Linked DNA regions of Lonchura striata. The protein of the gene in region 1 binds, or shares a complex with, the protein of each later gene. Links are inferred from orthologs where the notes say so. Each region holds a gene or a part of one and is shown on either strand. Other genes may lie near its edges.

Evidence for each region.
Region 2: TERT (region 1) and NOP10 share a complex: the UniProt entries of both Homo sapiens proteins name them as parts of the telomerase holoenzyme complex. The link is inferred for Lonchura striata from reciprocal best matches to the Homo sapiens genes TERT and NOP10.

The regions. Positions count from the first base shown.
Region 1 is NC_134603.1:64,359,789-64,367,939, reverse strand, and holds the start of TERT (telomerase reverse transcriptase), read right to left. Parts: upstream 3,304-8,151; 5' UTR 3,265-3,303; coding exon 3,037-3,264; intron 2,070-3,036; coding exon 185-2,069; intron 1-184. UniProt on the Homo sapiens protein: Telomerase is a ribonucleoprotein enzyme essential for the replication of chromosome termini in most eukaryotes. Active in progenitor and cancer cells. Inactive, or very low activity, in normal somatic cells.
Region 2 is NC_134639.1:2,432,299-2,438,189, forward strand, and holds NOP10 (H/ACA ribonucleoprotein complex subunit 3), read right to left. Parts: upstream 1,136-5,891; 5' UTR 1,094-1,135; coding exon 1,040-1,093; intron 880-1,039; coding exon 739-879; 3' UTR 568-738; downstream 1-567. UniProt on the Homo sapiens protein: Required for ribosome biogenesis and telomere maintenance. Part of the H/ACA small nucleolar ribonucleoprotein (H/ACA snoRNP) complex, which catalyzes pseudouridylation of rRNA.

The sequences.
Region 1 (8,151 bases):
TTCTATTAAACACAGATAGCATGTATGCAAATGACTTTTTCAAGGAAGACAAGCTTAAGCTATGGTTATTACCAATGAACTCAGCAATTCTGAGTCCAGATTCAATATCCTCCCCTTCCCACCTTAAACAAGATCACCACTTATCTGACAGCCCCACCACGTAGTTCTTCAATATAAGAAATACCTTTGCCTAGACGAAGCCACATGCAGTCATTAACTCTCATCCTCCACATCAACTCCTTCAACGAAACCTTAGCAAACCTCCCCCTGGAAATGAACACTTTGACATTTTTTAGGAACCGGCACTTGTTGTGGTTTGAACCCCAAAGCTCAGCAGGAATGACCTTCTCCAGGCAATCCCTCACAAACATGTACACCTGCCAGTGGCTGCTGTGCTGCTTGAGGAGCTCTGCGAGGGCTGAATCACATGCCTCTCGTGGGTTTTGTTCCTCACTCGGCAGCAACTCCCCACGCGCAGATTCTGCCAAGGGAGCACCTAAGTTGTCTGGCACATCATTGTGACCAGATTCACATCTGCTGCTTGTCGCACACTTAGCAGGCTCTTTCCCAGACTGTTCCTCTTGCTTCTGAACCTCTGCTTCCTCAGACAAGGCCACCTGACAAGACAGCTTGGTTTTTGTCATACTGATTTCAGATATCCAAACAGGGCAATTTTTTTTCAAGAGAGCTGAGTAAGCACACTTCCCATGGTTCAATAGCAGTTTCTGAAATATATGTCTCATTTGCCAGTAACGTTTGGGCAATGTCTTCTTTCTTCGCTTGTGTTTTGGCAGACTTTGGTTATGCCTTTGCTGCACCTGATTCTGGCTTAAGAATATAGCTTCTACAAGCTGTCTTCCACCTGCCTGAGAACCTTGCAAGCGATTCAATACAAATGATTTAGGAAAACATTCTTGGAAACTCCTGCAAGAGTACAGAAGAGACTTCCTCTCAATGTATGTTGCAGAACTCAGGAGTCTCTTTGGTAACTTCTTTGATAAATGAGGTTGGGGACTTTCCTGCTCTCTGCATTTTGAACCCTCCACTGGTTTGGTTTGTCCTGAAGCCAACTGAGATTCATATGTACGCATCTCTACTCTTTTCCTATGGGATTCTGCTTGCATTTCAGTGTTGGACTCTAGAGGTTTGTTACTCTGAAATCTCTGCAGAAGAGAGACTGCCACAAATTTCCTCCTGCCACAAGATGTGTGAACTAAAGAAGGACCAGACACAGCACTGTTACTTCTTTCAGAAATACAGGGGGTTTTAATGACACTTGCAGAATGTGCTGCTACATACCCAGTTTCAGATCTCTCGGAACTACTTTGGTTTACATCAGGAACAAGACTACAAGCCTTTTCCTCTCTCACTTTCTCTCCTATTTTTGCCCTCTTGGCTGGAATTTCAAATTGTTCTCTATGAATCTTCCTTTTTAGAGACGGAGCTGCGGCTGAAACACATGAACTGGAGCTACTCTGTTTTTCCTGAGCTTCAGTAACCATTCTGATCTGTTTGCTTCCTTTAGAAACGGTTTTTGCAGAACTCTGGTCAGTGGGCCCTAAGCTTCGTCTCTTGTTCTTTCTTTCATTTCTCATCCTGGAGACATTATCTTCATATCTTTGTCTGTTTGACTTTAAAAGATAATTTCTATGAAAGATAAGCCTTTTTTGCATATATTTCAGCAAGCTAGTACGTTTATATTTTGAGAACCTTTGTCTAACAAATACCAGGGATGAGTCTACACTATGTGAAATAAGTTCATAAACTGGTTGTCCACAAACCTGGTAGCAATTATTAGGGGGAACCAACATAAAGATTGCACAGTGTTCCAATAAATACATCATCACATCATCCCCTATCCGGCTCAACAGTGTCTCCCAGAAGCCGCTGATACAAAGAGTTTCTGTGGCAGTATTGGGTAGGTAGCTGTGTATCTTTGAAAGTGGCATGACTGGGAATTGAGAACTGTTTTCATCTGGTAAGGAGTATCCATACGCGAGGATATTCTTCTTCTTTTTTTCACACAGTCTCTGAACAACTCTTGCGGTGACCTCACTCTGACTAGATAACTGAAGAAAGAAAGAAAAAAGATAATTAGCTTTTTCCACTTACTCCTCCATAAACCACAATATACCCTTTAAATATAAACACATGCAAAGTTACACAGCCCCAGACATCAGCTTTGAAAGCAGTATTAATTATTCACATGCATCACACTCAAAAATTAAGATTTTCCAAGCGTAATGCAAGATGTTCATATGCAGCAACGTAAGCCGATGACTTGAAGGTAGTCTTTTTAACACCTGCCCTTTTGATCCTGGCTTTTATGCCCAGGAAACGCCCTGCACTATTCCCCCTAAGACCCACAGCAGCTCAGACTCCACGGCCTCCAATGAATCCGTGTTCGCAGATCCATGTTCGCAGGCACGCATACGTGCTCGCGCAGGCTCCAACCTCCAGGGAACTAACGCTAATTTTCTTGAGGCCTCCACTTCCTTTCATGTAAAGGAAAATTCAACTAAACGACTCGGCACACACTTCCAAAACCCATTTAACAAGTTGCCCTGGGTTGGCAACATCTGCTTCCTACCACAGCACAGTTTTGCTCATATGGCGCTAGAAAAAAAGCGGTCTTCCCTCTCTGAAAAGCTTTTCCTCCGCTTAAACAACGACCTGCAGCGCGTTCTACCCGCCTCTTCTTCATTCTCTCAAGACTGGGGCACTCTCCATCCCCCGTCGCTCCCCGGCCACTTTCGCCTTGTTCCCCGTACCCACAGGGGCAGGCGGGCGCCAGGGGCCGCGCGCAGACCCGCAGCGCGACCGCCGCCCCACGCCGGCACCCGGGCCCTGCTCTCCCAGCCAAGAGGCGGGGGCTGGCTCCCACCGCTCCCCGCCGGCTCCGGCCGGGACGGAGCGGAGAAGGAGGCTGCGGGACCGGCCGGGCCCGCCCGGCAGCCGCCAACAGGGGCAAAGGCCGCCGCGCCGCCCCGCAGTCCCCGGGAGCCCGGCCGGGCCTCGCCCCCGGCCCCTTCCTACCTGCTGGAAGGAGAAGGGCCGCGGGATGGCGCGGGCGCCGCGGGGGACGCACACGAGGCACTGCCCCACGAAGTTGCGGTAGCCGGGGGCGTCGTCGGCCCGCAGCACCTCGGCGTCCCCGGCGCCGCCGTCCCCCAGCCGCCGGACGAAGGTCTCCAGCGGGACGGCCTCGGCGTAGCAGCGGCGCAGGGCGGACAGCACGGCCGCGAAGGGCTCCTTGCCCGCCATGTTGCGGCCAAAGAGGGCGCGGGGCCACCTGGCGCGGCCGCGGCGCCCCTGCGACCACGCCGCTCGCCCGCCGGGCATCGCGGAGCAGCGGCTTAGTGATGGATGCGTGAGGAGGTAAACGCATTAACTGCTGAGGCGGAGGAAAAAGGAAGCAGCCAAAGCATCCTTTCAAAGCCGCGGCGCGGCTGCACGCCGCTGCCCCCCGCGTGGCCGCGGGCCGGCGGGGCGGGGCGGCGGGGCGGGGCCGGGCGGGGCCGGAGGCCGCTGTCCAGCTCCGCCGCGGGGACACAGCGGCAGCATTCCCCGCCGGGGAGCGCTTTTCCCCTCTGGAAAAGCATTCCATTGAGGATCTGTCTGCACTAAGAGCACCTGTAGGAGAGATTGTGGTGGAGATGAACGTACGAAACCCTACAAATACCGAAGTGGCTCACCCTGTTGGTTTTTGTTTTTTTTCTCATCAAATTAATGAATGAAGAAGCCACATCACTTGCGGTACTGTACAACCTCCTACTCCAAATTTGGCTTGGTATCTGAAGATTTCATGATAGAAAACCTGATGCCAGTCTGTGAAAGGGATTGCAGTAGAGTCCTGGGGAAGTGCAGGTCTCTAGGCTCTATATGTGTTCCAGGTGAATTAGTAGAAATCCTAGAATTATATAGCATGGTTTGGGTTGGAAGGGACTTCAAAGGTCATCTAGTTCCAACTCCCTTGCCATGGGTAAGAGCAATATACGTGAAATATCTGTGCAATAACGGAATTAGGGGATGCTGAGAGAAATACAAATTGTTCAGCCAACATTGCTCCCATAAGGAGTCCTGCCCTTGAGTTCTGTCAAGTGTTGAAAAGACATGAAAAATTATCTGGTCATCTGGTTGATATATGCTACCTGAATTTCCAAAAGCCTTTGCAAGAAAATGTACCATGATGCATTGCATACATTCAACAAACCCAGGACTTTTGTGTAAATGTTTTGGCAACATGGAGTTAGCACACTACCATGGAGGGTGAGGTGACTGACTCTCTTCTACCCAGGCTTCATAATTAGGTTGCTGTAAGTATCCTGCAGAAATATAACAGACTTCTCTCCTTCCCAAAGATTAGAGAGTACCTCATCTTTGAGAGGAATCATCCAACAGATCCCATCGTGGAGATTACTTTTTCAGGGGTGTCACTAGATGAAGGGAGATGTTAGTGTCCCCATGGTCTTGTCCCTGGTAGTGGTGGTGCCATGCAGTGAATAATTCTCACCAGTAGCAGGGACAGATGTGTAGAAGTCGTGAGTCTGCTGAAACAGAGCCATGTGTACCTTCCTCAAATGAAGCCTTTACAGACTAGGGAGTGAGGTCACCATCCCACTGCTCATGGAGGACTGGCCTCCTTTCCTACTAAAACAATTAATTTCTTCCTGGGAGCAAAGCAGCTCATCTCCTAACATCAGCATGACTGAGGATTCAACTCCCTGGCAACTTGTCACCTACAAGTTGAGGCATTCCTACATAATTTCCAGTTCAGCACTGCCTGCTTGCCAGACTCTTTTAGCTCTTAACAGAGATAGGCACCAGCTGGCATTCCCAAGGGAGGCAGAGCAATAACACCAGGCTTCATGGGATCTCAGCAGGGCTGTAATTAAAATACTGCACTACCACTGCATACTGAGGGGCAGGGGATTTGTAGACAGTCTGAATCCATCTGCATCTGCATCTAGGGTAGTGATATAGCTGATGCCCTTAGTCTGACCTCTGAAGGATCTATTTGACTTGTATTTCCCCCCATATCTCTGTTGCTCCAAAGGTGACAGCACCATTATGGTAGAATGTTGCCTGTGACAAACATAAGGTTCACCATTTCCTGTGACAAGCATGTTCAGGAAGAAAGTAAGAGGAAAAGGAAGAAAAAGGGATTAATTAATCTCCACCAGTTGCTGGCAGGTCCCAGCCTGTGCCCCTTCCTGATGCCTCCTTGGTGGCAATAACCACAGCAGTGATGGTGGGGGAGAGGGCTGCTGCAGCCAAGCTAAGGGGGGCTCTCTCCTCTTTCTTTTCACAGGTACTGTGTGTTTTTCTGTGTGTCTACTATTGGACTGGGGAGAAAATTCAGGAGGGAGAGGGAGACTGAAGTAACATGGAAAAAGATTAAGGTTGACTTTTTGACTTTTTGGCTTTTTTTTTTTTTTTTTTTTTTTTTTTGGAGGGGTGACAGGATGAATAAGGAAAATAGAATCTCAGAGACATAGAATAGCTGAGGTTGAATGAACTTTGTAGAGGTATCTAGTCCACTCTGCTGCTCAAAGCAGGGTCACTTAGAGCAGATTGCCAAGTACCATGTCAAATCAGGCTTTAATGTCCTCAAGGATGGAGACTCTACAACCTCACTGCACAACATGCTCCAGTGCCTTATCACACTTAAAAAAAAAAAATAATGTTTAAATAGGATTTCTTCATTTTAATTTGTGCCTGCTGCCTCTTATCCTGATATTGGATCCATTGAGAAGAATTTGGACCCATCTTGTATTTATTCACTTTGATATGATCCCCACTTTGAGCCTTTCCTCCTTGGGCTAAACAATTCCTTTGATATGATCCCCACCAAGCCTTTCCTCCAGCTGCCTCACCATCTCCTCATAGGTCAGATTGTCCCACTCTCTAATCACTTTAGTGTCCTTTAGTGGTGTCCTGGTTTAGGGCAAATTTGGGAGAAAAACTCCAGAAGGAGCCCCCAGAAAGCAAACCCACCCACAGCCCCTCCCCCCCCCCCCCCCCCCCCCCCCGGTTCGGGAAGAATTTCCTCAGAGAGAAGAGGGAAAAAAACTGTTTATTTAACAAGCAAAACACTTCCCAGCACCAAAAAAAACAAAAAAAAACAAACAAAAAAAACCCCCAAAACACCAGATGACAAAAACTCTTTCACTGCTCTGAAGAGATGACAAATTCAAATTCAGAAAGTCTCTCCTGGGAGTGGTTGCCCAGTTCTTGGTCTCTGGCACTGGGGATGGCTGCTGCAGATCCCCAAACGCAGGCTCTCGGTGTTCCTCGGTGTTTCCCAGGTTCCAGTCCAGAGCAGGTTGGAATGATACTCAGGAAAGGGAAAGAAAAAAACCAGTTCAGAATAAAAAAGATTGGACTCCTTAATTAAACTAACTAATAAGCAAAAGCAAAGGCAAAAGCAAAAGGAGGAGCAAGAGCAAGCAAGCAGGCCAGGCCAGCCAGCAAGCATTAGCCTCTCCTAGACAACAGACCGGGGGTGGGGGGGAGGTGAGCCGGCTGATAACAAGACAAAACAAACCTTCACTTTCAGAGTCAGTTCTGAAAGCACAGAAGATAATATCAAACATAAACAGAACACATGATTGGGAATACAAACACCATAAAGTCACCCTAGGACAAGTGGAAAGTTCTCTGTGCTCACTACAATATCACTCTTTTACTGGGAACCCAGATCTGGAAAAATAATGGGGTCAGGTCTCAACAAAATTTATGCTTCAAGGCATACTTAACCTTATCCACATTCTGCTTTACAACCAGTTTCTGTGAAAGGGGGTTACCCTGGGAATGGATAGTGGTATGATAAAAATAAAATGCTGTTTTTATGGTCAAGCAACAAAGTGAAAGGAAATGTGATGTTATGTTTGTGTCCAGCTTCAGTAATGGCCATTTAAAGAGGCAAGCTTTCTGCAAATGTGCCTCTATTTTCAAAGCTCCATTTGAGAAGGCTAAAGGGAACTCTTAGAAGAAAAGTCACAAGATGAAGAAGTCAGGTGTCTTTCAAAATGTGTGTTCAAATAGAAAAGTGAAAAAACAAATCAAACAATATCAGATTAGTTTGATTAATAACTTCTCAAAGTTGGAAGAAACATGAAACTTCAGAAATGGAACAGCTTGTCAGGAAGTCTATAATGCAAAAATAGAGAAGGAACACTTAGGACAATCATGGCAATACTAAGAAACTTGAGGGAGGGTCCTGTGTGAAATCTTTGCACACACCATGAACAGTCTCAAGGTTGATTATTGTGAATTATGTTGTTCAAGAAAGAGGAAAAAAAAATACAAAAGCCAGTGAGTCTCTAAAATTAGATGGTAATTACCAGTGAGTTTAAAGGAACTCAGGGATTACCCATGTCAAGACAGAAAGTTTCTGTATCACAGGCTATGAAAATATGTAACCTGACATCAAGAATCCAAAAAGATATCATAGGGACTACCTAGAAGTGAATCTGATGACTCAGCTGTGGAAGTTGACTAACTCTGTAGTAGAGAATGGCAGGAGAATGTAGTGGAGAATTGGAGGAGTCAGCATTACTTTTGCTGAGGATGACATTATATGATACAAGGGGACATTCCTTTGGTCAGTTAAGGTCAGCTGTCCCAGCTGTGTCCACTCTCAGCTTCTTGCCCACCTCAGTCTGCTCATGTTGGAGGCAGAGAGGGAAAAAAGAAATCCTGATGCTGTTCCAAGTGCTGCTTAGCAATATCAGGGTGTGGGTGTGTTGTCTATTAGTCACAGACCCAAAGAAGAACACAGACTGCTTTGAAGAAAGGTAACTCTGTCCTTGCCAGACCCAGTACAATTTGTCAGAGTAAGACCCCTTTTTGGCCCATCACATCCATCAGAGTCATCACAGATCTTCAGACAATGTGGCTGACCTTGGTGCCAGTCTCACCTGAGGCTATTGCTTGAGACAGATCATACACTAATGTGCCTTTAATCAAGGACATCCCTTCAGCCTAACCAGCTGCTCAGTGTAATCCCTCTTTAGAGCATCCCTCATGTGTCATGGTTTTTATCTGCCGTGGAATGAAGCCTGTCTGTGATAGTGACTTGCTCTCTTCTCTGTTGGCTTGCATCTGCAGTCTGTGTTTTCTTTGCAGTGGTCTTGGTAAATGGAGATG
Region 2 (5,891 bases), on another chromosome or scaffold:
CCCCGCGGCCACAGAGCCTCCTCAGAGCCGAGTTCAGGCCCGACAATTCCCGTCGCGTCCTGCGCCCCACAGACACCCCTCAGAGCTCCCCGGGTGCCCCCAGGGGCTTCCCGACCCCACAGGGTGCCCCTGTAGACCCACAAGTGCCCTCCCGGACCCCCAACCGCTCCGCTACAGCCACTTCCGGGACTACAGCTCCCATCATACCTCGCGGCGCCCATCGCGCGCATTTACTGCCATGCCTCCACTTCCCGTGATGCCTCGCGGTCTCATTCAGCTCCATTAAAGCAGCGACTCCATCTCCCGTCATCCCCCGCGCCCCATAGAGCCCAATTATACCCGCACCTACAACTCCCATCATCCCCCGCGCCCCATAGAGCCCAGTTATACCCGCACCTACAACTCCCATCATCCCCCGCGCCCCATAGAGCCCTGTTATACCCGCGCCCCATAGAGCCCCGTTAGCGCTTCCCCCAATACCCCTCTAAATTCCCTCCCCAGACCCTAAAAACCACAAAAATACCCCCAAAACAGGAAAAAAAACCCAAGGTATTTGGATACCAAAACTCAGAGACCCTCGACTTTTAATACTTCATTTTTCCTCCTCTTTAAAACGTTCCTTTCCCCCCCATTTCCGTGCAGTCCGCTGGCATGGCGATTTGACCTTTTCTCATGGCGGAGATCCGTCCCAGGAGCTCGGGGCCATCTCGGGGCTCCGCAGCGGATCTCTGCGGTGCCTCAGAGCACGGTCCGGCCTCGCTGCGTTGGCAAAACCCCGAAGCGCCGCTTCAGGGCCAGGCGGTGCCGGGAGAATTTATCATCGGGGGAGAAGCGGGCGGGGTGCGCCGAGCGAGTGGGGACCCCGTCCGGGGACACCTTCTGTGGGGACAGAGCGTCAGGGAGAGCCCAAATCCCCCCCTCAGCACAGTCCAACTGGCCCGCATGGCCCCAGCCCGCACCGCGGACACCCAAACACCGCGGGTCCCCTCAGAGCCATCCCCTAAATCCCCCCAAAAGCGCCCCAAAAAGCGCCCAGTACCCGCAGGGTGTAGACGCGCTCCCCGCGCTCGTTCTCGTAGCACTGCAGGAACATGGCGGCGCCAGCGCGGCACCCGGCCGGAAGTCGCCTCAAGAGAAAAGGAAAGAAGGCGGTGTTTACACCGGAAATTGGAGAGAGGGGTGATGGGAAATGCAGTTCCGGAAGCGAGCGGGGAGTACCACTCAACCTGGCGGGTCCGAGCGGGGAAATTTGGGGCCAAAAAAGGAGATTTTGGGGTGAAAACGGGAGTTTGGGTCTAAAAAGGAGGAATTTGGGCACAGAAAGAAGGAATTTGTGTCCAGGAAGGGAAAGTTTGGGCTCAAAAAGGGGGATTTGGGTCCAAAAAGAGAGAATTTGGGCCCAAAAAGGGGATTTGGGCAAGAAAAAGGGGAAATTTGGACCGAAAAAGGGAAATTCGGTTTCAAAAAGGGAGAATTTGGACAAAAAAATCTTGGGAATTTGTGCCTCATAAAGGGGAATTTCGGTGCCCAGATGGGAAGTCTGGACCCCAGAAGGGGGAGTTTGGGTCCAAAAATGGAGAATTTGGGCCATAATTCAGGGTTTGAGCAGAAAAATGGAGCAGTTTGGACCTAAAAAGGAGAATCTGGATTTTTAAAAAATGGGAGTCTGACCTTAAAAATTCAACCCAGGGAGGCAGGGGGAAAATTTTGGTGTGAAAAGTGAGTTTGGGTTCAAAGTAAGGAAGTTTGGGTCTGAAAGTGTGAGGAACAGAATTGACGGTTTGGAGTTTTTAAAGTTTATTAATAATAAGAATAACAGTAATAGGATAAAAAAAGGAGAATAATTCCAGCAGGGTGACAGCGCTGAGGCGTGTGCATAGTCATGATTTTGTTATTTGTGAAAAACTCGTTGTGTTGAAATTTTAGGAGTTTTACTTTTACTCGTAAATCAATCTTTGAAAATCTGAGATTTCCAGAGAAGGAGGCAACAATGTTTTGGGTTTTTTTTTTTTTTGAGATTTTGGTGTCTGTTGCTGTTCTTTTAATATTGTCCTCTAGGCTAAAAAGTGTATGTGCCACACTGCTGAAAAGAGATGAATACAGGAAAAAAATTAAAATAGATTAATACAGGAAAAATTTAGAAGAGATTAATACAGGAAAAATGTAAAAGAGGTTAATAAAAGAGATTAATACAGGCAAATTTAAAATATTAGTACAGCAAAACTTAAAGGAGATTAATAGAGGAAAAACTGAAAAGAGATTAATATAGGAAGAATTTAGAAGAGATTAATATGGGAAAACTTAAACGAGATTAATGCAGCAAAATTTAAAAGAGGTTAATACAGGAAAAATTTAAAAGAGATTAATACAGCAAAACTGAAAAGAGATTAATACAGGAAAAATTTAAAAGAGATTAGTGCAGGAAAAACTTAAAAGAGATTAATACAGGAAAAAGTTTAAAAATACTAATACAGCAAAACTGAAAAGATATTAATACAGGAGAAATTTAAGAGATGAATGCAGCCAAATTTAAGAGATTAATACAGCAAAACTTAAAAGAGATTAATACTGCGCTATTAAAATGAAAAAGAGATTAATACAGCCAAATTTAAAAAATATTATTACAGCCAAATTTAAGAGATTAATACTGCATATCTTTCCAACATAACACATCATGTATTAATTTTAATATTTGCCAAAAGCCAGTCATATAATCTGCGATTTTCAGTTTTCAAACATTCTTTAAAATTTCTGAGGTTTTGGGAGCTCCTTTGCCTGACTCCTTCACTCTCCGGCTCAAAGACATCCTGAGGGTTAGGATTTATTATTTTATTTTATTTTATTTTATTTTATTTTAATTTATTTTAATTTATTTTATTTTACTTTATATTATTTTATTTTATTTTGTTTTGGTTTTTTTGGTTTTACTTTTTTATTTTATTTATTCTTGTGTCTCCGCCCTGCTGTTTCACAGCCTCTGATGATATTTTAGTATGTGCTCCTGAAATTAACATGGTGATCTCTAATTATCCTTGTTAATTTTAACATGGTGTTCTCTAATTGTCCTCCTACATTAACATGGTATTCTCTAATTGAACTCATTAAATTAACATGGTATTCTCTAATTATCTTCATTAAAATAACATGGTGTTCTCTCATTTACCTCCTTAAATTAACATGGTGTTCTCTAATTATCCTTGTTATTTTTAACACAGAGCTCCTTAATTGTCCTTGTTAATTTTGACATGATATTCTCTAATTGTCCTCGTGAATTTAGCATGGTGTTCTCTAATTGTGCTCCTGAAATTAACACAGTGTTCTCTAATTGGCCTCATTAATTTTAACACGATGCTCTCTAATTGTCCTCCTTGAATTAACATGGTGTTTCTTAACTGTCCTCGTGAAATTTGACATGGTGATCTCTAATTGTGCTCCTGAAATTAACATGCTGTTCCCTAATTGTCCTCGTTAATTTAGCATGGTGTTCTCTAATTGTGATCATTTCTGCAGGTGGCTGCAGGCAGGAGCACCTGGAGCAGCACTTGGTAGCCGCACTTGGTATCTGTCAAAAGCTGTTGCTCCTTCCTAGAATGATTTTTGCTTGGAAGTGATAATCTGCGACACAAAAACACCATCCACTGTTGACTTCCAGAGGACAATGACATTCTTACAGATATAGTGTCAAGTTTCCTTGTGTCCTTCTGTTTTTTCTTGCTTTCTGGGAAAGAACATCAGCCCAGCATCTGATGCGCAATGCTCCAGTTGCTGCCTGTCAGGTTGTGGCCAGCAGCTCATGTCCAAAGACAAGTGGGTGCTGCCTTCTGGGCAAGGGAATGGACAGGCACGAGCAGAGAATTTCCCTGCTGAAGCTGGGAGGAACCTGGGGAAGTGCAGAAGATTGGGATAACGCTGGCATGAGAGAAGCTGTTCCATGTCTCTGATGACGGTGCCAGCAGTGTGAAGGAAGAGCCAAGAGAAGTGCTGGAAGAAGACACATCTTGGCGTTTTCTGCTGTTCCATGGACACAGAACACACTTGTTCCCATAGCTCCCGAAGACTTGATGCAGGAAGAAAAACATTCAACCAAAGGATCACCAAAGGCCAAAAGGCTTTTGGCCACTTTCCCTTGCCCACCACAGGCTTGGGCAACTTGCCGAGTGCAAGCGCCCTTTTTCCCCTCCTCCCCATTGGCCTGAAAAATCTGGGCACCAAGAGAAAGCTCCTGGACCTCCGGGTATGACAACAACAATTTATTAATGCTACTCTGGGGTGAAAGGAAGGGCTTGCAGAGGGCAGTTGTTCCTCGCAGGCTCAGGTGGCCCCAGCAGACGCAGCCTGGCGGATCAGTTCTCCACAGCGCTGCAGCAGGACAGCCAGCCACGGCGGCACGGGAAAGGCCGTGACTTCCAGAGCCGGCGGAGTTGATCCTGCACATTCTGGAGTCGGGAGGAGGGAATGGCCTGTACAGCTAAATTGATGTACAGGGTTTGAAGGGCCAGGCATGAGATGGCAGGGCTGACGTCATCCGCCATGTCCTGAAGGGCTACGAGAGAGAGGAACAGAGCCACCGTCAGAGCCTGCGTCTGCAGAAACATGGGGAGACCCTCCTGCCACGTCCATGCCAGGCAGCTCTTGCCATGGCCTGGAGGAAGCAGGAGACAAGAAGGGCGAGCTGGAAGGTGCTGGCCACGAATGTGCCACAGGCCCCCCAAAAGGTCTGTGTGCTGTGCCCACGCTGCCCTTGGTGCGTGCCGGGCCAGGGAAGGCAGCTGCCAGCGGCAGCCCCCGCTGAGAGCCCGCTGGCCTCACTCACCCCTGCAGAGGATGCGGAACTCTTGCTGCTGTCCTCTGAGGCAGCGCCCGGCCATCCCTTGGGAACAGAGAGCGTGAGCTGGCTTCAGAGCCACAGCTGCCGCCCGCGGGCGCTGCCCGGCCCGAGGCCACACGGGCTCCTGGCCCGGCAGGGCTCAGCCCGGGCCCCTGGCGCATCCTGCTGCCCCAGGGCACGGCTGCCAGAGGGCGGCGGCAGCGCCGAGGCCAGGCGGGGCTCCAGATGGCCGAGCGCGGATGCTGCTGCCGGGGCAGCAGGCGGGGCTGGGGCCGAGCTGCGGCGGGGCGGGGAAGGAGCCGGGCTCGTGGCTCACCCATGAACCTGACGGCCGCCTCTCGCAGGGGCTCCTGTGGGCTCTGCACGTAGGGCAGGGCCCGGCGCAGGTGCTCGGCCGCTCGGCTCCTGTCCTCTGCCAGCTGCAGAGAGCGGCGGGGCACGAAGGGAAGGGTTGGTGCGGGCCCTGCCCCTCGGCCTGGCGCTCCCTCCGCCCGGCGCCGCTCCCCCTGCCCACACAGCGCCGAGGCCCGGCCAGCAGCCGCCGGCGCCGGGCTCTGCAGGGAGCAGAGGGCCCGGCGAGCCGCGGTGCCGCCCCGCGGCAGAGCCCGGCTGCCTCGGGGCTCCCTCAGCACCGGCCTTGGGGCCAGAGGAGCCTGGAGCAGAGCCCGCGCGGCCCAGGGAAGGCAGCGGCGTGTGGGGCGCCGGCCGGTGCCCCTGCGGGCAGCACTGGGCAGGGGCCGCAGCTGCCAGGGCACAGACTGGGCACCGTGGGCAGGCGGCTTCTCCAGGCCGGGGCTGGGGCTTCCGGGCTGTGCTTACCAAGCGCTCGGCAAAGCTCCACATCTGATCCGTCTTCAGCAGCTGCTGAAGATCCCTTCTCTTCAGGAACCTTACTGCAGAAAGCAGCGTTTCCCGAGAGGCCTGCAGAGCGGCAGAGAGCCAGAGATGGCACCGCAGCCCAGGGCACAGGAGCCACGTCCCCGTTCCAAGGCCAGGAGGGAGCTGGAGCCCATGAGGAGGAGCCAGGCTGTGGGGAGACAGCTGAGCCCCCTGCCATGGGGAC